Arabidopsis thaliana: one gene and its partners. The protein of the gene in region 4 purifies or fractionates together with the protein of the main gene of each other region. This does not show direct contact. Each region holds a gene or a part of one and is shown on either strand. Other genes may lie near its edges.

The links.
Region 1: the proteins of FY (region 4) and CPSF73-II purify together in Arabidopsis thaliana (affinity purification with western blotting; one study listed by BioGRID). This does not show direct contact.
Region 2: the proteins of FY (region 4) and CPSF73-I purify together in Arabidopsis thaliana (affinity purification with western blotting; 2 studies listed by BioGRID, with this or other methods). This does not show direct contact.
Region 3: the proteins of FY (region 4) and CPSF160 fractionate together in Arabidopsis thaliana (co-fractionation; 3 studies listed by BioGRID, with this or other methods). This does not show direct contact.

Annotation. Positions count from the first base shown.
Region 1 is NC_003071.7:318,541-324,501, reverse strand, and holds CPSF73-II (cleavage and polyadenylation specificity factor 73 kDa subunit-II), read right to left. Parts: upstream 4,070-5,961; 5' UTR 3,906-4,069; coding exon 3,881-3,905; intron 3,783-3,880; coding exon 3,605-3,782; exon of another isoform or gene 3,519-3,604; coding exon 3,446-3,518; intron 3,346-3,445; coding exon 3,228-3,345; intron 3,132-3,227; coding exon 3,058-3,131; intron 2,962-3,057; coding exon 2,825-2,961; intron 2,730-2,824; coding exon 2,666-2,729; intron 2,498-2,665; coding exon 2,432-2,497; intron 2,342-2,431; coding exon 2,272-2,341; intron 2,130-2,271; coding exon 2,025-2,129; intron 1,822-2,024; coding exon 1,680-1,821; intron 1,569-1,679; coding exon 1,472-1,568; intron 1,350-1,471; coding exon 657-1,349; 3' UTR 539-656; downstream 1-538. Other genes in the region: RIE1 (RING-finger protein for embryogenesi), read right to left, coding at 1-3; AT2G01720 (Ribophorin I), read left to right, coding at 4,486-4,590, 4,927-4,971, 5,260-5,891. UniProt on the Arabidopsis thaliana protein: Component of the cleavage and polyadenylation specificity factor (CPSF) complex that play a key role in pre-mRNA 3'-end formation, recognizing the AAUAAA signal sequence and interacting with poly(A) polymerase and other factors to bring about cleavage and poly(A) addition.
Region 2 is NC_003070.9:22,473,753-22,479,520, reverse strand, and holds CPSF73-I (cleavage and polyadenylation specificity factor 73-I), read left to right. Parts: upstream 1-1,755; 5' UTR 1,756-1,860; coding exon 1,861-2,004; intron 2,005-2,096; coding exon 2,097-2,194; intron 2,195-2,501; coding exon 2,502-2,547; intron 2,548-2,636; coding exon 2,637-2,786; intron 2,787-2,923; coding exon 2,924-4,567; 3' UTR 4,568-4,591; exon of another isoform or gene 4,592-4,851; 3' UTR 4,852-4,891; exon of another isoform or gene 4,892-4,973; 3' UTR 4,974-5,254; downstream 5,255-5,768. Other genes in the region: AT1G61030 (WAPL (Wings apart-like protein regulation of heterochromatin) protein), read right to left, coding at 172-284, 498-837, 940-1,039, 1,143-1,552; AT1G61000 (kinetochore protein), read left to right, coding at 5,475-5,638. UniProt on the Arabidopsis thaliana protein: Component of the cleavage and polyadenylation specificity factor (CPSF) complex that play a key role in pre-mRNA 3'-end formation, recognizing the AAUAAA signal sequence and interacting with poly(A) polymerase and other factors to bring about cleavage and poly(A) addition.
Region 3 is NC_003076.8:20,978,467-20,983,029, reverse strand, and holds the start of CPSF160 (cleavage and polyadenylation specificity factor 160), read right to left. Parts: upstream 3,026-4,563; 5' UTR 2,781-3,025; coding exon 2,449-2,780; intron 2,360-2,448; coding exon 2,213-2,359; intron 1,881-2,212; coding exon 1,727-1,880; intron 1,620-1,726; coding exon 1,484-1,619; intron 1,143-1,483; coding exon 997-1,142; intron 673-996; coding exon 577-672; intron 461-576; coding exon 408-460; intron 230-407; coding exon 98-229; intron 1-97. Other genes in the region: AT5G51650 (uncharacterized protein), read left to right, coding at 3,781-3,822, 4,207-4,563. UniProt on the Arabidopsis thaliana protein: CPSF plays a key role in pre-mRNA 3'-end formation, recognizing the AAUAAA signal sequence and interacting with poly(A)polymerase and other factors to bring about cleavage and poly(A) addition.
Region 4 is NC_003076.8:4,325,967-4,333,637, reverse strand, and holds FY (Transducin/WD40 repeat-like superfamily protein), read left to right. Parts: upstream 1-1,666; 5' UTR 1,667-2,010; exon of another isoform or gene 2,011-2,080; coding exon of another isoform or gene 2,081-2,116; coding exon 2,117-2,204; intron 2,205-2,284; coding exon 2,285-2,376; intron 2,377-2,585; coding exon 2,586-2,723; intron 2,724-2,801; coding exon 2,802-2,906; intron 2,907-3,052; coding exon 3,053-3,148; intron 3,149-3,252; coding exon 3,253-3,335; intron 3,336-3,448; coding exon 3,449-3,520; intron 3,521-3,591; coding exon 3,592-3,689; intron 3,690-4,007; coding exon 4,008-4,067; intron 4,068-4,176; coding exon 4,177-4,237; intron 4,238-4,326; coding exon 4,327-4,414; intron 4,415-4,529; coding exon 4,530-4,593; intron 4,594-4,843; coding exon 4,844-4,922; intron 4,923-5,144; coding exon 5,145-5,234; intron 5,235-5,359; coding exon 5,360-5,442; intron 5,443-5,919; coding exon 5,920-6,368; intron 6,369-6,520; coding exon 6,521-6,691; coding exon of another isoform or gene 6,692-6,709; exon of another isoform or gene 6,710-6,859; intron 6,860-6,940; and 4 more.

The DNA of each region.
Region 1 (5,961 bases), on a different chromosome or scaffold from region 4:
CATTAGTAACGAAGAGAATTGAGATTCTTCTTTCTCTCTGCTCTAGAAAACGCTAAGCCATGGCGGACAGTTTTAAAAAATGGTTTTAGTTAATTAACATTAATTGAAGATTAGACACAGTCTTATAAGTTAATTATCATTATCACAATAAGTCGTACGTCTTTAACCTTAAAGGATCCGGTTAGGAGTGGCCATTCGGATAAACGGGTCGGATTCGGGTAAAATTCGATCGAATACGGTTTTTCGGGTAGAGAAGTTTAGGATTCTATAGGGTAAATCTAAAATATCGGTTCGTGTATAGATTTTAGGCCTTTTTTAGAACCATACTTGATTTTGCGGGTAAATATGCAAATTTTTCGGATTTCGAATAAAATTTAAATTTTTGATTAAAATATTCATGTATTTTTGGGTTCGACTTCAGATTTGGTTTTTAGGGTAGAAGAATTTAGGACACAAGTAAATTTTCGGATTCAGATTCAGTTTCGGGTAATTGGTTCCGGTTTTTAATACGGGTGTTACTTTGTTAGATAGAAATTGGCGCTAAAGTTGGTAAGTTTAGTTACTACTGGGTTAATTTAATTTACTAGGATCAAAACTTTTACATATGCCGACAGAAAAACGACAAAAACTGAAAACACTTCTCAGTGTTACAAGAATCAGTGATTTAGTTTGATAGCATTGATGATTTCCCAGCCAAGCTCTAAATCTGCGATAGACCAGTTGCAACACAAGAACACAGCTTCACTACTACTACTACTGCTTCGATGCATACACTTGTCTTTTAGACACAAAGAGCCCTTGAAAGATGCAACCTGCAAACAGTTTTCAGATTCATGGATCTGAGCACCAGACACTGTCTTCAAGATCTTTGCAGACAATTGTTTGATTAGATCAACATCATCATCTTCTGATTCTCCTTTAACTTTCACTGGACAACAATGAGCTAAAGAGACCACATGGTTTTTCTCATGTAACACCTCAGAGATTTCATCTTGGTGAACTATCTTTGCCTTTTTGCTCTTCTCTATTACCAAAACCCCGTCTGCGGTTCTATGGTCTGTAACACGGAGCTGAGTAGAGTTTGAGAATTTGAAATTCGGGTTGGAGCAGCTTTTTAGGAACATATCAGAAGCGTTTGCTTTTATATAAGTGGTTGAAGCGAATGAAACTGTTTCGCCATTGGCAGGGACGAAACAGGGGATGTCAAGCTCTGAGGTTATCTTTTCCTTAAGAATCATCATGCTGGGTTTTTCGCCGTGCACGAGTACAACGTTCTTTGGGGAAAGGAACTTTGTGAGATCCATTATTCCTTTTGCATCTGTGTGAGGACTGAAAGCCACTTGATGTACCTGATAACAACAGAATCAACAAGACATTTTAGTTTAGGTTCAACGTGTGAATTGGACGCATTGCTGTTTTCGTGTTAAGGTTACATAAATTTTGTGAGAACCAGAAGAAAGAGTAAACAAACCTTGCAACGGACATCGACCTTGGTGCCATTGTAGAGATCAACCGTCGTGGGTTTACCAGCCATCAGTTTGTGCCCAACGGTCCCAGCCACAGAGTATCTGTAAAAAACGGATCCATAAATGGATGAAAAGAGATACAATTTCGTGTTAGATGCTATGCTAGGAAAAAACTGAATTGCTAATAAAGGGGAAACACAATAGGTATAGTACCCGGGTAATGCAACAAGATTCAAGGGAGAAGGAGCCCAGTGCTTGAACACTTCAAGTGAAAAGCCAGCACAAAGCATACCAGGTGTGGCAAAGAGAACACATGGCCCAGGAGCATGTATAAGAGATCGATCGAAATCTTTAACTGCAGAATGTGAAGGTAGTAGTTAGAAAGCAAGCAGAGTTGTACAGCTAAGGTAGTGGATAAGAACAAAAAATGGACGCAAAGGATGTATTAGAACCACTAGTTTGGTTCTTATTTTTCAAGCACATCAGAGTTTCGGTTCCATATGATATAAATTTCATCTTCAACGTTCTAAAGTTATTTGCAAATGGTAGTACACATACCATTCTTAAAATCAAATGGGTTATGCGTATTGTGCTTTTCTTTAACGTTCTGGCTTGTCCAGCTGATGAGCATTTTGTAATACATATTTGCTTGGATGGTCAAACCTGCAAAAGTACAAATTTATCTTCAGGGACAGCAATTTTCAGAAGATAGAGATCACTATTCATGAAATAGAGTCACGACTTTGTTGAGCTGACTAATCTGCAGAATTGATTTCATATGAGGATTGGTGGTGATTTAACAGACCTGATGAGAAGTAAATTGGAACCTTTATATTCATGCGTTCCCAGTAATCATCAAGCAGCATGCAGAGTTCCTGAAAAAGGAAACGCAATTGTCAATGAGACATAAGAGAAGCAAAGACAAGTTTAAGTAACTGACTTCAAAGCTCTGTAAGAAGACAGACCTGAGCCCTTCCAAGAGCAAATGAAGGAATCAGCGCCTTCCCTCCGCCAGCAACACATTTATGAACCTGGAAGAGTTTTCTGAGATATCAGACAATTACCAAACGAAAGCTTAAGCATTTCCTGAAGGGGTATATTGATCAGAAACAAGCCAAAGGTGATGCGGGTAATTATAATCAAAAACCATTTAAGAACAAATTTAGAAACCATGTGTTAATAGTTACAAGTAGACATACAGCTTGAAGAAACTCTCTCTCCCGGGGATATTTTGAGCCGCGAATGGTAGTTGCATATGTGGACCTAAAACGGCATAGTTAAACCTATATCAGGTAAACTTGTTCTTTCTAAGTTTGTTGAAAAATACCAGCGAACAAGTTTGTATTTGTTTTCCATACTCTGAAATGAGAAGATCCAACTGGAGTCTGTCAATTTTAGCAGCTCCTAGATGTCTATCTGTCGTCATATTGTAATCTCCAGTGTACACAATCGCTGCATCTCCCATCTTTGCATAAACCATCACTGCTCCAAGGACCTTATGATCAATACAAAATAAGCTTTAAAAAATACAGAAACTCTGAATATAAAAAACACAGAAAGAAATTCACTAAAACCAGAACGAATGTCTTACATGCCCTGCATAATAAGCCCGGATTTGAAGATCTTCATCAACCTGAATTGTTTGCTTCAAATCTATTGCAATTACTACATATAAAAAAACAAGAGGAAGTCAAGTTATAGACACTGCATCTGAATTCGTGCACAAAGACCTCAAATGAACTAAATCCAATATTCAAGTACCTTTTTTCATGCAGTTTGCGATATGGGTAGTGGTGAATAGCTCCTCCTCGCCTCTTCTATCCACCATCACTCTTCGGTAGTCCTCAAGCATTAATGGAGACAAAGCCTTTGTGGGATACTACAAAAGAGACAAATCAAAGTAAACAACCTTTACCTTCACAAAAAAAAAACAGTCAGTCAAACATTTCATCGAACACCTTGAGGACAATATAACTCACCGACATATAAATCGGACCATTGTACCCACAAACTTCCGTGAAGTAAGGAAGCGCTCCAACATGATCCATATGGCTATTAACACTCACAATTAAAACCCACAAAAACTAAAAAAGTGAATTTTAAAAAAGGGACAAATTCTGGGTTTGAAGAATCAATACAAGTGTGTGATGATGATACAAGAGATCGCGTTGTCAAAATCACCGGATTTAGATATGAGAGAAAAATTTGGGTAACGATTGTGATCATCACAGCCCATATGCATCCCACAATCGAACATTATCTTTTTACCATTAATCGTCACTACCACACAGCTCTTTCCAATCTCTTGTCCAGCACCTGGATACAACACAAAAAAGATAGAATTATACAGAAATTGAAATTGTGAAACTTTGAAGAAGCAAAGAGAGAAGAAGAAGAAGAACAAAAACTGTTACCAAGTACGAGACAATCGATAGCCATAGTTACTGAAGAAATAAACAACAATTTGAGTTTCAAAACTCGTCGATGGTCAAAAATATCTTACTCGTTGAATCAGAACACAAATTCAAGTGACCGGAGAAAATTTTGAAGGGGGCGAGAGAAGAAACAGAGTTAGGTCGACAAACGAATTTGAATGGCGGCAAAGTGTTCAGTGACATCGGAACCGTTCGGAGTTATTACACGTGTCTGATCCAACCGTCGATATTTTTGTGGTGTGAAGCCCAATAATAGTTCTTCTCACGGCCCATTAAATTTAAAAGTTTGAAACGACAACGTCTCATGTCGTTTTTAATCTGAGGAAGAAAAAAGCTCGTAACTAATCCCTAAATCAAGAGAGAAGTGAGAGACACTGAGACTTTGTAGTTGACCGGATCATTCTCACTTCGCCGGCCGACGTTCTTCCTTCCGCCGTCGGTATCTATATTTACGATCCACGATCTCTCTTGCTGTTTCTGTCTTCATCGGTGAGTAATTTTTTACTGATCTTCCAAATCCTATCAATTCACCATCTCTGAGCTCTTTCGTTGATTTGAGTTTTGTTCTTACTGCAGTGACGAAAATGGCTGCTCGTATCGGGATCTTCTCCGTCTTCGTAGCTGTATTGTTATCTATTTCTGCATTTTCCTCAGCTCAGGATCTCCAGATCGTAAATGCCGAGCGAAGGGTAAGATTCTCCGATCTATCTTCTTCTTACAATTCATAAACTTCCTTAATGGATCCCGTTTCTCCGATTTATGGAAATTCAAGTTAATGAAGTTGCCGTTGGGCTTTGCTGTTTCTCCGATCTATACTCGGTTTGTAGAATTACTGTGTGATTGGTCACTTCATGGTTGATCATCATCGATAGGCTTCATATGTATGTACATTGATAGATAGTGTGACTTTTCATCAGTTATACGTTTGATTTGAGTAATTAGAAAGTCTAATGATAGAACCTGTTTGCAAAATTTTCTTGCCCGAAACTGAAATGCTTCTCCTTTGTGTTTGTTTTTGTCTACAGATTGATTTAAGCTCACATATCGTGAAGGCCTTCTTGACTCTCAAGGTATTTATAAGCAAATGTTTATAATAGTTATTCCTATTGAATATACACTGGAAGGTTGGAACTTAGAATTGGAAAATTAAAGCTTTTTTGGATATGTTATATGAAACTGCAGCTGTTTTTCTTTTAGTCAAATTTAGTTTATTGTAGTGATACTTGTTGTAAAGGTTGGAACTTTAGTGGCTTTGATTCGTTGTGACAGTTAATTTGATATTATCGCTTTTCTCCTTCATCATCTTTAAGTTTTTCTATTAGGAGGTGACATTTTCTTGTCTGGATTTCTTTCTTCAGGTTGAAAATATTGGGAAAGATCCTGCTGCAGAAATGCTTCTTGCTTTCCCACCTACCCAGATCAAGAATTTGGCTATGGTACAAGCCCTGGCAACTACTGGCAAGAAGAAGAAGAAAACTTATTTGCCATTAGATGTAAAACCAACTGAACAACCTGATGCACCAAATGACACTGGATACTACCGTGTTACGTTTATTAGCCCCTTAGGTCCGGGTGAAACTGTTTCACTTGAGGTGCTTTACATATTGACTCATTCCTTGGAACCTTTCCCAGTGGAGATAACCCAGTCAGAATCTCAATTGGTTTACTATCATGATAGTGCAGTGATATTGTCACCGTATCATGTTAAGCAACAGACAACTTTTATTAAGACTCCTAGTACTAGAGTAGAGTCGTTCACTAGCATTGAACCTGCTAACCGGGCTGGCAAAGAGATCAAATATGGACCATATGAAAATCGTGCTTCATACTCTTACACACCTGTCATCATTCACTTCGAGAATAACAGTCCATTTGCTGTTGTTGAGGAGCTTGTGCGTGAAATTGAGATTTCACACTGGGGTAGCCTTCAGATTACAGAAAATTATAGGTTGACTCATGGGGGAGCGAGGCATAAGGGTGTTTTCTCAAGGTATGTAATGGGACTAATAACTTCTATAATGTATGAGGTGACATCTGAAAATTTATCTCTAGGAGTTAGA
Region 2 (5,768 bases), on a different chromosome or scaffold from region 4:
AACCTTGACTTGCAACGATTTTCAGCAATAAATTAGATTGAAATAAAACATGAACCTGAAGATAGCAAACAATTATAAAGCTACCAATCTACGACACTTTACACAAGTTATTGACGTCCTAGCCAAATAAAGACATATATAGCAAGATCCCTATAACATACAGGTTCACACCTCCATTACAGTGTGGCAATCCATAACAACATCAAAGACAGCATCAAGTCCTCCAAGTTCTCTCAGTTTCTCCTTGAACATTCCTCCAGATTTTTTCACAGTACCAGAGGTATCTGGATGGGGAATGATAATATCAATAATTAGAAATTTATAAATCAATTATAATCTGGTCGTAGGATTCTATTACCGCTGACACATTTGTTAAACTGATTCACTGAAGCAGATAACATAACTTTCCAATTCTATAACTCAATATAATATACCAGATGCGTCTTAAATAGTTAGCTAGTCATTGTTCCAGCAAAACAGACAGGAAGTTAAAGTACCATCAAAAGAGATTTTGGACAAGCACGCCTTCTCCATCACCAACAAAGCTACCCATTTCGTACTTAGCTCAGGCCTCATCCTCTCGATTTTATAGCTATCAATCAATCTCAACTCCTTGCAATTAACAAGAATTTCCTGAGCTCTGTCAATTATATCACAGGAGCTTAAATCATGCATACTGGCTGCATCACGTGCTGCATCAACATCCTTGATTATTGATAAGAGCCTAGATCCTATATTCCGCGGCTTTACTTTAGTACTGGCAGAAACCACAGGTCTCAACAGCTTAACCAAAAACTTGATGGAGTTGGGTGACTCCATAAAGTGATCATCTTGACCCTAGAATCATGAACATAAAACTAGTAAACAAGAGAAAAATGCCAATGGAGCAAGAGAAAAGAGCATCACAAGCAGATTTCACAATGCAAATAAGTTACTTACATCAGTAGTTAGCACAAAGAAAAGGGTAGCTGCAGCAAGATTGCTTGGTATGTCATCAAGGCAAAGACCCAAAATCGCATCAATTATGGACTGTGAGATCCTGAAATAACAAAATTCAGAAACTTTTAAAAGAACTCGACTTCAAACAAACCCTAGAAAGTCTAGAAAGGAAGATACTGAAAATCTTAAGTAAATAAACATACCCTAAAGCTCTCAAAGAGCGTCGCTGATACTGAGATTCACAAATCGAGAGTAGAGAGGACAAAGCAGCTCTTCTGATCCTAACTTTATGTCCTTTCTTCAACCCATCAAGAGCGAAGTTAACTTCGTCCTCATTCTCAATTAACTCGCCGAACTCTTGAGCCTCCATCAAAGTCGAATTCGAACCAAACCCTCCACCACCGTTTCTGGGTCTCTTGTTCCTCTTCTCAGAAAAATCATTATCCGAAAAAGTGGATCTTGAAGAATAATTCCAGACACAAGATGATTCTTGAGTTGAGAAATCAACTGGCTCGAGTTCTGGAGATGAAGAAGACGGAAAAATATGTTCCGCCCGCGAGACGTCGTCGTTTAACATCCCCGGCTTGCGACGGCCGTAAGTTCGCTCCATCATCGCCGAGAAAGCTTCGAATTTTCTCTTCGTTCGCAGATTTGAGTGACAAAATAAGACAAGGGTATTTTCGGTATATAATATGACTTTCTATATAAATATAATATTTTCAATTGCTATGTATTGACCGCATAGCGCAGTGGATTAGCGCGTCTGACTTCGGATCAGAAGGTCGTGGGTTCGACTCCCACTGTGGTCGTTTTTTTTTTTTTAAAGGCTTTTAGGGTTTGAAGATATACACTAACTGAAATTGCTGTACTCAGTTCTTTGAGTTTCTTCTTCTCTTGGAGGAAAATCGAGAAAGACGAAACATGGCTTCTTCTTCTACTTCTCTGAAAAGAAGAGAGCAACCAATTTCGCGAGATGGAGATCAACTTATCGTTACTCCGTTAGGAGCCGGAAGTGAAGTGGGTCGTTCCTGTGTTTACATGTCCTTCCGAGGCAAAAATATTCTGGTCAGCTTCTCCGTTTTGTTCTAATCAAGCAAATGTGTTTTGATTTTGTTGTTGGGGCATGTCTTATAGTTGATTTTGGTTGTGTTGTGCAGTTTGATTGTGGGATTCATCCTGCGTACTCGGGCATGGCTGCGTTGCCTTACTTCGATGAGATTGATCCTTCTTCCATTGATGTCCTCTTGATTACTCAGTATGTTTCCTTCTTCTTCCTCTTTTGGCTAATACCCATTAAGAAAAATTGAAACTTTGAAGAGAAAATGATAGTCTTGATTTGAATAGAATGATAATTTGAGCAAAATCTTCGAAGTTTAAGTTTGTTTATACAAAAACAGAAGGATGATGTGTAGTAGAGAGACCTTCTTGGATTAATTAGTTCAAGCTTGTAGGAGGCTAGAGTTTGTTCTGTCTCTGTTTGTCTACTTGAAAGAGTTTGTGTTTTGTGTAAGAGGTTTATTGGGTTAAGATAACATATAATGTGTTGATGCTTTTGGTTGCAGCTTTCATATAGATCATGCAGCATCTCTACCTTATTTTCTGGAGAAGGTTTGTTTCTCTTTTCAAAATGATTTTGTTTTTTGGGATGTGTTAAAACATAGCTGAGAACTAATTCAGGTTATTGATGTTTTGATCAGACGACATTCAATGGGCGGGTTTTCATGACACATGCAACAAAGGCCATCTACAAGCTGTTGCTTACAGATTATGTAAAAGTGAGCAAAGTGTCTGTGGAAGATATGTTGTTCGATGAACAAGACATCAACAAGTCTATGGACAAAATTGAGGTTAGTACTGCATTATATTCTATGACTATGTTTATACTTTGACTGCTCCACTAGGTTTGGGATAAGTTCAAAAGAAATTAAATCTGCTTCAAAACTGTGATTGTTGAGTTAAGGTTTATATTTGATTTCCTCTATAGGTAATTGACTTCCATCAAACAGTTGAAGTGAATGGCATAAAGTTCTGGTGTTACACGGCAGGCCATGTTTTGGGTGCAGCCATGTTTATGGTGGATATAGCTGGTGTCCGAATCCTCTATACAGGCGACTATTCCCGTGAGGAAGACCGACATCTGAGAGCAGCTGAGCTTCCTCAATTCTCCCCTGACATATGCATCATTGAATCCACTTCTGGTGTCCAGCTTCATCAATCTCGTCATATTCGTGAGAAACGCTTCACTGATGTAATCCATTCAACGGTTGCTCAGGGTGGACGTGTGCTGATCCCGGCTTTTGCACTGGGCCGTGCTCAGGAACTTCTCTTGATTCTTGATGAATACTGGGCGAACCACCCAGATCTACACAATATCCCAATCTACTATGCATCACCACTCGCCAAAAAGTGTATGGCGGTTTACCAAACCTACATATTATCTATGAACGACAGAATCCGCAACCAGTTTGCAAATTCTAATCCGTTTGTGTTCAAGCACATTTCTCCATTAAACAGCATCGATGATTTTAATGATGTCGGTCCATCTGTGGTAATGGCTACTCCTGGAGGTCTTCAAAGCGGTCTCTCAAGGCAACTCTTTGACAGCTGGTGTTCAGATAAGAAGAATGCTTGTATCATACCAGGTTATATGGTGGAAGGTACACTGGCCAAGACGATAATTAATGAACCAAAGGAGGTGACTCTTATGAATGGTCTTACTGCTCCGCTCAACATGCAAGTGCACTATATATCGTTCTCTGCTCATGCAGATTACGCGCAGACGAGCACGTTCTTGAAAGAGCTCATGCCTCCTAACATCATCCTTGTTCACGGTGAAGCTAACGAGATGATGAGGCTCAAACAGAAGCTCTTAACAGAGTTTCCTGATGGAAACACAAAGATCATGACCCCGAAGAACTGTGAGTCAGTGGAAATGTATTTTAATTCTGAGAAATTGGCGAAAACCATTGGGAGATTGGCGGAAAAGACACCTGATGTTGGCGATACAGTAAGCGGGATTCTGGTGAAGAAAGGGTTCACTTATCAGATAATGGCACCTGACGAACTCCATGTTTTCTCACAGCTATCAACAGCAACTGTAACTCAGCGAATTACAATCCCGTTTGTAGGAGCTTTTGGTGTGATAAAACATCGCCTGGAGAAGATTTTCGAGAGCGTGGAATTTTCAACAGATGAGGAATCGGGGCTTCCAGCACTGAAAGTTCATGAAAGAGTAACGGTGAAACAAGAGTCAGAGAAGCACATCTCACTTCAGTGGTCATCAGATCCAATAAGTGACATGGTTTCAGACTCCATTGTAGCTCTGATTCTCAACATCAGCCGAGAAGTCCCCAAGATCGTTATGGAAGAAGAAGATGCTGTGAAATCCGAGGAAGAGAACGGGAAGAAAGTTGAGAAAGTGATATACGCACTTCTTGTTTCGCTTTTCGGGGATGTGAAACTAGGAGAAAACGGGAAACTGGTGATTAGGGTCGATGGCAATGTCGCTCAGCTGGATAAAGAGAGTGGAGAGGTAGAGAGTGAGCATTCAGGTCTTAAGGAAAGAGTGAGAGTAGCTTTTGAGCGGATTCAGAGCGCTGTGAAACCAATCCCTCTCTCAGCTTCTTAGTAGCTTTTTAAAGTCATCGTTGAGGTATCTTAAATCATCATAGAGTTTTATCCATCTGATGATGTTTCTGTTCCCATGTTTAGTAATAGTGAATGATCAAGTCTAATGGATGTTATTTAAGAAGGTGTTTATTGAGAAACTTTGCTACTACCCTACTGTGATAATGATCAAGTCTTATGGATGTTATCAACTATGAGTTTTTAACTTTTTTAGGTTTTTTCATAAATCATTTTGCTGATTCGTGCTTTTCCCATATGCATTTTTCTATCATTATGCTGATCTAGGATATGGAAGCAAAAGCTTTGTGGTGCATCAAGTTAAGAGGTTTCTAAAGTTAAAAAAGTACTAGGCTTCTTCCAGATTCTTTGTAAGACATATTAGTGAGCCTTGCTTTTGATATTTGCAGTTTCATGAATACACGGTGTCGTTTGATGCGTTTCTACCAAGCCTCTAAAGTACAAGGCAGGTCTGATTGAGCTAAAGTAAGGTAGAAGAGAGATTGTAATGAGCACATTTTCTATTATTTTTCCACGTACAAAGTATACATTATTCACATCAGTGAATGTCTCTTGACCTCTATGTTTTGGCAAGATGTCTAGTGCATCAAGATATTAAGACCAAATCTCTACAATATTAAAATGCTTAATTTTTTTTTTTGTAGATTAAAGTTTCTTTTTTAATTTTATTTATAAAAGCTTCTACGTTCTACCGTATCCAAATATGCATCAATATCTGCAGAGACTGCAGTTTCATATAGGCGGGAAAAGCAAATGCAAAAAACAAATCGAACCTGACCCAACTAAAATCAAAGGCTCTCTTTTTTTTTTTTCATTTCTTTCCAAATTGTCATTTTCAGTTTCTTCGAATCCAGACACAACAAATCCGAACCTGACCAAAACTGAAAACTATGTCAGCCTACGAGTACCCGAGGCTCTCTCGTTCCGACATTATCACGGCGCTCAAGGATGCTCAAATCGCTAGCGTTACAGAGACCGATCTCAAAACCCCAACTTCCGACTTTGTCTCCGAGCTTTACACCAGAATTCTTATCTATCTCGACGCCCTCGACGAGTATGTACTCCTCAAAACCCTAGTTCCTCTCTTAGCTCTTCACTCAATTTTACCCTCGATTTTGAAACTCTTCGTCTAGTTTCGAGCTAGGTCATCGAATTCTGTCAGAAATTATGTTAAATATTGAATC
Region 3 (4,563 bases), about 17 Mb from region 4:
AAAGTAGCAGTCAGTTTCACATATTTTAAACAAAATAAGTTGCAGCCAGCTTTACAAGCGTCAGAAGATTTTTTTTTAAAGAAGATCAAAATACTACCGCCCATCATATATAAGAGTCAGCAGCAACAATTCCCCAGATTTTGTCGACAATAGGGCCACATCGTTCGATATCCAGGTTCCATGGGCAGCATCAAGCTCCACACTGAAATTTGATGCAGGCAGTTCTTGACTGAAAGAAATCAGACGCACACAGAGATAGAAATGTGGTTAACAGTATAAACAGAGTTTTACAAATGTTGAAAGTTGATTCTAAGCTTTAGGATTCTAAACTAAGACTGAGGTAACAAGATTATATCCATAAGCATGAAGCAGGTTTTGAAGAGTGGGGAGGTGCGAGAAAACTGTACCTGCTATCAGCTGAGGAGGCATAATTGTTCAGTGCCAGAGCACAGGAGGCTGACTACAAATATATATGGTATCCAGATGTGTGAGTAACTGTAGAACTTTGAGGTGGAGTGGCTGGAATTGTTGAATTTTAAACAAGAAACAACCAAAAGCTAAGTAATATAAAACTACCTGACTATGATAATGGATTGTATTTGCACACAACACAAGAACACCTCCGATCGGAGATGGTACTGCAAGTAGTTTGTAGGCATCATGGGGCAGATTCTGGAAAATACCAAAAGAATGGGAATAAGTATGATCAGGGACTAACGTTTGCCGAAGTAACTATTTCAGTCATGAAATAGCTTGTTATTTTAGGAAATTTTTCCTAAAGAAAGATCAACTCTTTGAGCATTCTAAACAAAAAATAGAGCATCGTCATAGCTGATTGGAAAGTCTAGTCATGTAACAACAGTGGATATTCAATAACCTTTTAGATGACTTCAATTTCTACCCTTAGCTTACAATATAGTTAATAGTGCAACTCAAATATTTAATTTCTTGGGAAGAGATCTATTATAAGATACAAAGAGGAAAATACGAACATACAATAGCTGACCAGATGACTGGGTGTTGTTTTAATGTCGAATTGATACTAAGGGCAGAAAGCACGCAAGTATGGTGCTTCCATGAAACTCGCCCAGCCCAAGTATGCTCTTCTTCCTGAAGGATGACAATTACAGGCTCAATATAACCTGAAGAAGACACAGGATGCAAAAACACATAATCAAAAGAAGCACCACTTAGTTTATTCTTTATGCCTACTGGGAAAACTAGAATATCTAAAATTTCAGACAGCTAGTTATTGAAAAATCAAAGAAACAATACATTTCCTCTTGTTTCAAACTGTAATCATGACCAGAATACATCAGTTGTCGTATTGAATCTACAAACAACAACTTAGTAAGCTAGATCCATTCAAGGACACAAGATTCGATGCAAGTTGAGCAGCTAAGAAACAATCATCATAATATATTTATGATTAACTACTGATTCAGAGATAAGTTTATGAAGAAACCTTGCTTGCTAAACCTACCATGTAGAAAAACAAAATCTTTGACGTGTTTCATTTCCAGATCACGCAAGTTAATTATGTAAGATGATTCAACTCGAGCAGAAACTGTCCCTCCAGAACTGAACGCATCATCATCTCCAACTAGTCCAGAACCAACCTAAAACCCAAAATAAAGTTCATAAAAGAAAAGAATGAAGGTTGGAAATTTGTAGCAGATAAAGCGACAGTTAAGATGAAGTTGATTAATAATGCCAAAACAAAAACCTGGGAAGTCTTGAGTATGATCATCTGCAAACCATAAACAAGAACGCCGCCACATCTGCCTTGAGGATCCACTTTTACCAAAGGGCCTCTTGGAAAAGACTCTCTTCCTCTTTTCAGATGAAGCCAATCTGGACCCTCAAAACAATGCATCGAACTGAAAAGGAACCACATATCCATTATTATTTGTTGAAGTCATGTATAGGAGTCAATGGTACATAAATTAGATAACTAGAAGAAACAATCAGACATAGACAATAGAACGCTTCAGTATATGATCCAATACTACGTAACTTGCATCGCTAGAAACAATAACAATGCGTAAGTAAAGACCAAAACTTTGAGAAGTATAAAACAGTTAAAACAATAGTTGGACACAGAACATCTCGTATATAGGTCAAAAGAAACAATTGAGAGGAGACAGAGCTGAAACTAAAGCTGAATTCATTTATTTATTTACCAAAACCAACAAAAGCAAAACACTCTTACGTCATCCTAAGGCTGTGAATTGAATCATCAAACTCAAGAACTGAAATTTTGGCGTCGCGAAATGTCAATATAATCGAATCTCTTCCCTTAGAAGAATTACCACCTCCCATAGGAAGAACCGCAATTGACTCAACATTACCGTGCAACCTACAATCCAATACCAATCACATCGTCACTTCAAAGTCAAAGTACCAAAATTGGAGTAATTTAGGAGGTAATTGTCAACAAACACGTACCTATAATGGCACACGAGCTCGAGAGAAACACCATAGACACCATCCATAACTCCACCACGCTTAGCAAGCTTCGGATTCCTCAGCTCCTGAGTATTCCCTTCCTCTTGAGCCCTAACGATGTACACCTCAAGGATATTTGCGGCGGTTATAACGACGTTGGGCAAAGGACCAATACCTCGTTTAGGATTAGGCCACTCAGCTTCAATATCATCATGAACGGAAACAATCGGAATCTGTAGCGTTGAATCGGAGAGAGAGTGGGTGATATAGCCGGAAGCACAGTTCTCGACGCCGGTAGGCCAATGCATCATCTTATAGGCCGCGAAACTCATCTTCTCTACCGGAATCTGGGATTCAGAGATTCTAATTCTAAAAATTGAAATTGAACTAAGAAGATTGGGAAGTGAGTGTGAGAGCAATTTAGGGTCTCGATTTTGTGAACATTAAAAGATCAAATCCTTAAACCCACGGGTTTTAATTTTAGGTTGGTTTTTTTTTTTAAGGGGAAACAGTATATACTCTTTATTACGAGTTTGGTCTTTACGAATTTCTTTTCCTTTAGTTTTTTTTGGGGATTATTTGTTTGCAAAAAGAACATGAAATATTTTGCGAAATCCGTTATATGTATCAAACTTGTATTGTCCAAAAAGTAATACATTTTTAAAAAAATAAATGTAATGTTCTGTTTTTAAAAGCATTAAATCAATGATGATGTGGATGCATAAGAATTGAGAAGAGAAGAGAGGAACTTGTTATGAACTTTCTGATTGGGACACATATACACATCTTTGGTCAAATGATGTTTTTCCAATGATCTTTATTTTGTTTATAATTTTCTATATCGTTTGTCAACAAATAATGCCCAAAAAAAGAGGTATTTCTTATCACTATCTATGACACACCAAAGCCAAAGGGAAGATAGTCCAATCTTTATTTAATACCCAATATATACCATGAAACCAAATTTCTTCTAGAAATATACTACAACATAAAAGTAGTGGATTTTGCACCATGATTTTGTTTTTGCAACATAAAAGTATTAGAAAGTGTTATCAATCATTTTGAGTTTCATTACTGCATTAAAACTTTATATATCGAAATATATCATTTTGTAAAATATTTTTGTTTTCCTTTTTAGTTCTAAAAAAGATCCTTAGTATCAAATTTCCCCAAAAATCTTTATACTTCTAATAAAAAAATCTCAGCAAAAATATGTAAGAGATAAACGTATTTATTATTTATGTTTTAGATTGTGTTTTTGTAATTAGTATTTTAACCCCTTAAACAACTTAGAGACGATAAAAAAAAATATAATTTTCACTTAGAAAGAGGATGACAGTAATTGTTTTGGAGAACAAGGGGATGCCTTATAAGGTTTATGAAAACAAATGCTAATAATTAATTGATTTAAAGATACGTTCATATAATATTTCTTATTAATTGTTGAAAAATCTTGAAAAGGAAAATAACCAACTTTGGGCTTCCTCTACTTCTCACCTCTTGTCCTCATAAAATAAGAAACCTCCTGCAAGTCTCTGTGAAACGATTTTGAGTGTTCCTCCCCCATACAAGACGACAACAATGATAGCTTTAAGTTTAACCACCTATAACTACTCTTTTTACATACTTCTTCTTCTGCTTCATCCTCTTTTTCTCCAAATTTTTATCTTATTTCTCATTACCAGAAGAAAAAATGTCAAGGAAGAAAATTTTTACACTGTGCTTGTTAAAACTATTCACAAAGAGATACTCTCTTAGGCTCCAAAGCCTCGATTCCTTTTCGAGGATTTTTGGCATCCTTTAGTGGCCAAAGGAGTTCAACGTGTGGTTCAGGAGAGGAAAGAGGGACTTGAAGCTCAAGGGAAAGAAGAGGGAGTTGAAAAGGTTCTTGTGGAGAAGGAGAAAGAAGAGGCTCATGTCTCATGGGAAAAGGATGGATCTGTGTCTGTTGCATACACATATGCCATTCATCACTTTAACCTTGAACGTGACCTTATCAACTACTCCAAGTGGACTGTTTCTGCACCTGGTAACGAAAATGACTACTTTGATACAAAAATCCTTGAAGAAGAAGTTGGCATTATCTGGGATCTCAAGGAGAAGAAGAAGGACAAG
Region 4 (7,671 bases):
GAGATCTCACCAAGCTGAGCAGTTGCAGATTTGCTTGTCCTCGGTTGCCCCGCCTTCTCCTTTAAGAGGTGCTGATTGGTACCAATGGAAGCAGCCCACAGGTACTTTTTCTGAAACATTCTCTTCGAAAGGAACTTGGATGCAAATTAGACAAATTTCTCCTCATGTGGCTTGGCATAAAGCTGTCTGGTTTAAGGAATCTGTCCCAAGGTTTTCATTTATCCTTTGGATGGCTTCCCATGAAAGGTTGACAACGAGAGATAGGCTTTTACAGTGGGGTATGAATGTACATGGTTCTTGTGTTCTGTGTGATTCTGGCCTTGATTCCCATGATCACTTGTTCTTCAAATGTGAGTTTTCTAGATCACTTTGGATTTCGCTCGCTGGAAGGATTTCGCCGAATCCTCCACTCTCTTTACCCTTGGCTTCTATGTGGGTTCTTGGTGTACATTCTTCTCCGCCGCACTATGCAAGTAAGATCTTAAAACTTCTTCTTCAAACCGCTGTTTATATGATTTGGAAAGAGCGCAACCGCAGAGATTTCTCAGCAGATGCTACCTCTCTCTCCGCTACAAAAATTCTCGTTGATCGCACAATGCGTAACCGTCTCATCTCCTTCTCGCCGGAGGAATCAGTTACCACTATCTCTCTCCTTGGATTCTACTTTGGTTGTATTAGTACCCCACTATAGGTGTGGCAAAGCTCATATTTATGTATGTATGGTGTTCCATTAGTCTCTCTTCACAAGAGCTCGGTGTGTTTTTGGGGTTTCATTGTACTATGTAAACCTTTTTTCATTTGGTATAAATCTTAACATTAAACCAAAAAAAAAAAAATGTTGAAACCTGTTAACATAGTCTATTTATACTCTATAAGTGCAAAACAGGGTTTTAACATGATTAAGTTTCGTAGTGGAATATAATAGCGGATTGGGATTGTGTTTCATATAGCATTGCCATTGGGATGTAGTGAATCTTGTTTGGAATAACGTATATCGATTTTTTTTTTTTTTTGTTATTTGGGAGATTTTAAGTTCTAATATGACAAGATTATAACATTTAATTTAACATTAAACCAAAAAAAAAAAGATTGTAACATTTTCTGAATTTTTGTAATTCGTTTTACTAGTGTCAGTTTTTTTTTCTTTTACTTTTAACTCTTTCAAATATTTAGTTATTTTAATGTTTTAAAAAAAAAGACTAATTTGCATCACCACTATCTTTGGGTTGAATATTTATTCAATATGTTCCACTATGAATACGTGAATTATGTGTGTGTTTTCATCTACAATTCATACACACACTCTGTCATGATTGTGAAATAAGCAGTAAAACAACAACAATACTAGAAAAAACCACACTTTGGGACATTAGAGTTCGATGTGAATACAATACTAGGATTTTCTTAATGTTAATGGCGATGCCTCTATTCATTCTTCTTCCTCTTTCTTTTATAGTCGTCCTTCACGTGTCCTGCCCGATCCGCAGTATCCACCCTAGAATCTCGTTGATCTCAACAGTTCTTCAGATCTTTTTCATGCCATCTCGCGGTTAGTTGCTTAAGATACACTCCTCGAGCTTGTTGATCAACCGGAAGGCCGACGGATGGGTTTACTAAACAAACTCATCCGTTATTTCCTACTCGCAATACATAGTTCAGCCTGAACATATGTGTCTAATTGATAGGGTAGGCCAAGTAACAACATACACCCAAAAAAAAAAAAATAAAAAAAAAAATAAAAAAATCGTGGAGATTAAAAAAGCTAAACCAATCGACTTCTTGATTAGTTTGATGATTTTATTAATCTTATCGGTTAAAACCGACCGGCGATCGAGGGTTTGGCTTGCCGAGAAGGAAGAAAAAAAAACCCTAAGATTTATTTCTACTCTTCACTCCATTATCGACTTCTCATCATTTCTCTACCCATTGTACTTCTCTGCTCTTGGGTTGTCATCAATTCGCGAATTTGATACACGCACACCCTAAAGAGAGATCCACGCTCGTTTCAAGGTAACCTAAATTCGAACACTTTCGCAGTTTCCCTTCGATTCGAATAAATCACTGTTCTCCGTGGGCAACAATGTACGCCGGCGGCGATATGCACAGGGGTTCACAGATGCCACAACCACCGATGATGCGGCAGTCGTCAGCTTCTTCCACTAACATCAATCCCGACTACCACCACCCATCTGGCCCCTTCGACCGTAAGTAGACTTTGAGCGTCTTCCTTTTATCGGATTAGTGATGACTGTGAGATTTAATGTCTCTCTGTCTGATGTTGCAGCCAATGTAGACAGTTTTGGGGCGAAACGAATGAGAAAGCATACACAGAGAAGAGCTGTTGATTACACCAGCACCGTTGTTAGATATATTCAGGTAATGTATTCCCATTGCTGCTCACAGTATTTCTTTGTTAGAACCTTTTGTACTGCTTGATTATATTTCTCTTGTTTTCTGTAAAGTTTTAGTCTTGGTCTATATACTCATAGCCTCTGCTTTCCCCAGTTGAATTCTTCGGTCCTTTTTATCTCAAAAGCCATTAGATAGGATTGTCTTTATGTCATGGAACTGATATGGATATGTAGTTCAACGAACTCATACTTTATATGGAACTAAAAGTAGAGAGTGTTTACTCCATATATGTTTTTGTTCAGGCTCGAACATGGCAGCGAGACTCAAGGGATAGGACCACTCTGCAACCAACCCCAGCTGCAGCAGTTGATGTTAGATTTCTTTGCTTTTCTGGGTTTTGCAATAAGATTGAATGGTTTACTGATCTAACTTTTATATCAATGCTTCAGATGCTTCCCACAGTTGCCTATTCGGATAATCCTTCAACAAGCTTTGCTGCAAAGTTTGTTCACGCATCTCTAAACAAGAACCGTTGTTCAATCAACCGTGTATTGGTATATCCCTCTACCAGCTGTGTGTTTTGTATTATTCTCTGTTTGCCATGTTTATCTATTCAAGAAAGCAACATCTTTCTTTCTTTGTTTTAACTCTATTATGCCAACTTAATGGGATCATTGCTGATTGGGTTTCTTTTATTTAGTGGACACCTTCAGGAAGACGTCTTATCACGGGCTCCCAAAGTGGGGAGTTTACTCTTTGGAATGGGCAATCTTTTAATTTTGAAATGATTCTTCAGGTTCGTTTCTCAGATTGTATAACTAATCTGTTGAAACTTCTGTTTTGATTCTTCTATAGTTGCTGCTCCTGGTATTGACTGTTTAAATTTGTTGTCAATATCAGGCACATGATCAACCTATTAGGTCGATGGTATGGAGCCACAATGAAAATTATATGGTTTCTGGTGATGATGGAGGCACATTAAAGTAAATTTGTTTTTCCCTTTCAGTCCCTAACTTATGATGTTGTAAACGAGAAGCTCAGAATTCTATGATTCAAATGCTGTGACAATAAGGATCAATTGTTTCTTATGTATCAGGTATTGGCAGAACAATATGAACAATGTGAAAGCCAATAAAACTGCTCACAAGGAATCAATTCGCGATTTAAGGTAAAAAAAAGTTTGATATGTTGAATTGCATTAAATGAATCTCTCAAAACTGAACAATGTGTATCCAACAGTTTTTGTAAAACAGATTTGAAGTTCTGTTCGTGTTCTGATGATACGACTGTTAAAGTCTGGGATTTTACCAAGTGCGTAGATGAAAGCTCATTAACCGGTAATGTTATTTGAACAGATTGGCGGCAGATACTTTATTTCTTTGTTGCTTGCTCTTCTAATTTGAATTTAGAAGGCCGCTTGAGATGTGCTGTACGTTATTAGAATTGGATTCTTAGGCTACATAGGAAAAGGTGTCATTGAGATTCGCTTTGGTGTCATGCCATGTAACGTTAGTTAGTTTTAAAGGTTCCAAATTGGTGCTTATAACAAGTTTCCTATCCTTTTGGAGGCATGTTTTCACAGTTTTCTTCATATTTGTAATATTTGAGAACTTTCGAAGTAATCAAAGGGTTCTTTATATTTTGAACTCAGGCAGGCCATGGTTGGGATGTCAAGAGCGTTGACTGGCACCCCACAAAGTCCCTACTAGTTTCTGGTACATTATTTTATAGACTTCTATTTGAATAATGCAATAAAAAGAAACCGCTGTATATTTCAGAGCTTCTCTATGGCTGATCATTAACCGCTTTAATCTGTGTTGTCAGGTGGAAAAGACCAACTTGTCAAACTCTGGGATACTAGATCTGGGAGAGAGCTTTGCTCACTGTAAGTAGTACATAATGTAATATGTAATTTTATTATAGTTTCATGTTCAAAGCTTTGACGAATTTGATGGCCTATTCTTACTTCTGCAGCCATGGTCACAAAAACATAGTACTTAGCGTGAAGTGGAACCAAAATGGCAATTGGCTTTTAACGGCCTCGAAAGATCAGATAATTAAGGTAAGTCTCACTTTCTTTTGGGTGGGGGGGGGGGGGGGGGATATTGATTTGTAAATGAGATTTTTTCCTTGCATTATGGAAGCATTTGTATGACACTTATGCATGTAATCTGCAGCTGTATGATATAAGGACTATGAAGGAGCTTCAATCCTTTCGTGGGCACACGAAAGATGTAACATGTAAGCTGTCAAATTCTATAATGATCATGTTTTAAACACGTGAAATCAGACAAACTGGCCGCATCAAATTACTTTTCTGTACATTGACTAGGACTCTAGAGTATATGCCTTTGAAAGATTATCATTGTACCCATGCTTTACTTGTCGACATATGAGACATTATCCCATGGATGCGAGTTTTCAATTTGTTTCTTCGATATTTCTAATTTGCAACTATTTCTAATTAAAAGTTGTCTTAACTCTTTTTAAGCTTTGGCGTGGCATCCCTGCCATGAAGAATATTTTGTCAGTGGGAGCTCTGACGGCTCCATTTGTCATTGGATTGTGGGGTAGGTACTGTTGTGCAGCAGTATGCTGTTTTATTTATTCGTTCATGCTGCTATTGTTTTAATCACTTATAAGGGTTTTTTAAATCATGTTTCTTCTCTACATTTTATATTCAGTCATGATGCATCTACATACTAGTAGTCTAGTAGCATCTTACTTTACCTTATATTTTGTGGTTTTTGTTTGAGGTGTATCTAATTATGAAAACTTTTCTTAATTCCCAGGCATGAAAACCCGCAGATTGAAATCCCAAATGCTCATGATAACAGTGTTTGGGATCTTGCATGGCATCCTATTGGATATCTTCTTTGCAGGTAGCAATTTCAATAGTCTGGTGCTATGAGTTCCTTACAGTTTTATTCTATGATGTGTTGTGGTTCCCTGTGCTCTTGAATAACTAAATGCTTCAGATAATGATTTTTAACCCTATTATCTGCAGTGGTAGCAATGATCACACAACCAAGTTTTGGTGCAGAAACAGGCCTGCAGATAATCCCCGAGATGTTCTTATGCAGAACCAAGGTTTGTTTTTGGGCTATTAGTATCTGATTTTTTAGTAGGCATTGGGATGGATAGGTTGTGGGTAGTACATAATTACTATGTCCTTATCCATCTCAGTAGTAAGGATGTTGTGATAGGCTTAACTGGTCAGGCCCTGGCAGGGTCAGTCATATACTCCTATAATGGCTGGTTCGAAATGGACCTTGGCTTTTTAAGGTTCAGGCTCGGCCAGCCATATGGCACCGTGATTAACTGAATTTTTTTGTAGAAAAGAACAGACTTGACTGGTCAAGCTGAGCTGATCTGATATAGGTGCAGATTTCTACAGGCTTTAAAAACTCAGACCCAAGTACTCGGTCATTAGTATCTCACTTACTGTTTTAATTTTGAGCATGTACTTTCAAGTTGCATTTGTCAGAAATTAGTGTTTTTTATTTAGTGTTTACTAACAAATTGAAGATGTGATTTGTGTGTACTGATAAGCGTAATTTGTATCAGGCTATAATGAACAAGGTTTTGGTCGCCAACCTGATAATTTCCAACCATCTGAGGCATCGCCAATCCCTGGAGCATTTGTGCCTGGGTTGACACGGAACGAGGGGACTATCCCAGGAATAGGAATAGCAATGCCATTTGATGCATCCTCTCAAGGGGATCATAAACAGCCTCTTCCAGGTTCCATGGCACTGGGGGCTCCTCCTTTGCCACCTGGTCCCCACCCATCGCTTCTTGGAAGTGGCCAGCAGCAAGGGTATCAGCAACAACAACAACACCAAGGTCATCCCCAGCAAATGCTTCCAATGCCCAATATGCCTCACCATCAGCTACCACCATCATCTCATATGCCATTGCACCCTCATCATCTTCCCCGGCCTATGCAAATGCCTCCTCACGGTCACATGCCACCTCCCTCAATGCCTATGTCTCATCAGATGCCTGGATCAATGGTATGGCCCTCAGATCTCTTGTAATTCAACCACAACTTAAGCCTGGCTTTTGTCGGTACCCCATGTGTTGGATTCCTCTTTGTTTTATTTTCTTAGTGATATCTTAGAGAGGTGTAGAAAGAGATATTAATCCTCACTTGTTGTTGGAGTAGGGAATGCAAGGTGGCATGAATCCTCAGATGTCGCAAAGTCATTTTATGGGTGCTCCTTCAGGAGTATTTCAAGGACAACCAAACAGTGGCGGACCCCAAATGTATCCCCAAGGACGTGGTGGTTTCAACCGTCCACAGATGATTCCAGGCTACAACAACCCTTTCCAACAGGTCCCATTTAAACACTAGTCTTTTGTTATTTAGTATACCCGTAAAGGTTTCACATGTATATATGTGCAAATAGGCAAAATGTCTACACAACAATGCAAAACACCTGATACGATTGAACCACAATACAACTTTCTCAGCTAGTTTTAAACTCACTAGCTAGGTTCAATGGTATGATTAGATGTTGAAAATGTAGAGCTAAAATAGCATAATCCGTTGACTAATCCGTTGTCTATATTTTATTTCGTGCAGCAGCAGCAGCCACCTTTACCTCCTGGCCCTCCACCAAACAACAATCAGCAACATCAGTAGGCAGCCGTTGTATTAGTACATTAGTTTACAACCGCACTGTCTGCGGGATAAAACGATTGAAGTAAAACTATTATATGGGATTCAAATTTCGTTTCTATAAAACAAAACATAAAAAAAAAAGGTTTTTGTTCTGTTCCAATATGCAAATAATTTGTATTAGAATTTTTTGCACCCGTAAAATATTTGAGCATAGTAACAACTTCCATGTGGAGAAAGTATTGATGAAATACTATGATTTATGGCACATGTCTTTTTTGTATTTTTAATAATTAAATTCATATATTTTATGTTAAGTGACCACAGTCATAATACTCTAGTTTTGATACTTAATGTGAACAAGTTACGAAGTTTTAGTGGCTTCACATGTCAAATACTCTAGTTTTCGTTAACCCGACAAACTTTTTTTTTTTTTTTTTTTTTTTTCATAAATTTCCAATTAACCAAAAAAAGTTGCAATACAAAGCCAAAAGGCCAACACAGCACGCAGGCCTGAAAGAACAAAAAACAACCAAATACAAGTTTAAAAGGCTAGATCAAAGGCAGAAGCCCAGAAGACCCAAGCCACCACAGCAGACGGCGAAGGAGCTAGAACACCAAAGCCCGACCCTTTGAAAACCTGCACAAGGAGAAAGCATCAGACTTGAGGAGGATCTCTATTGAGGAAGAGAGAA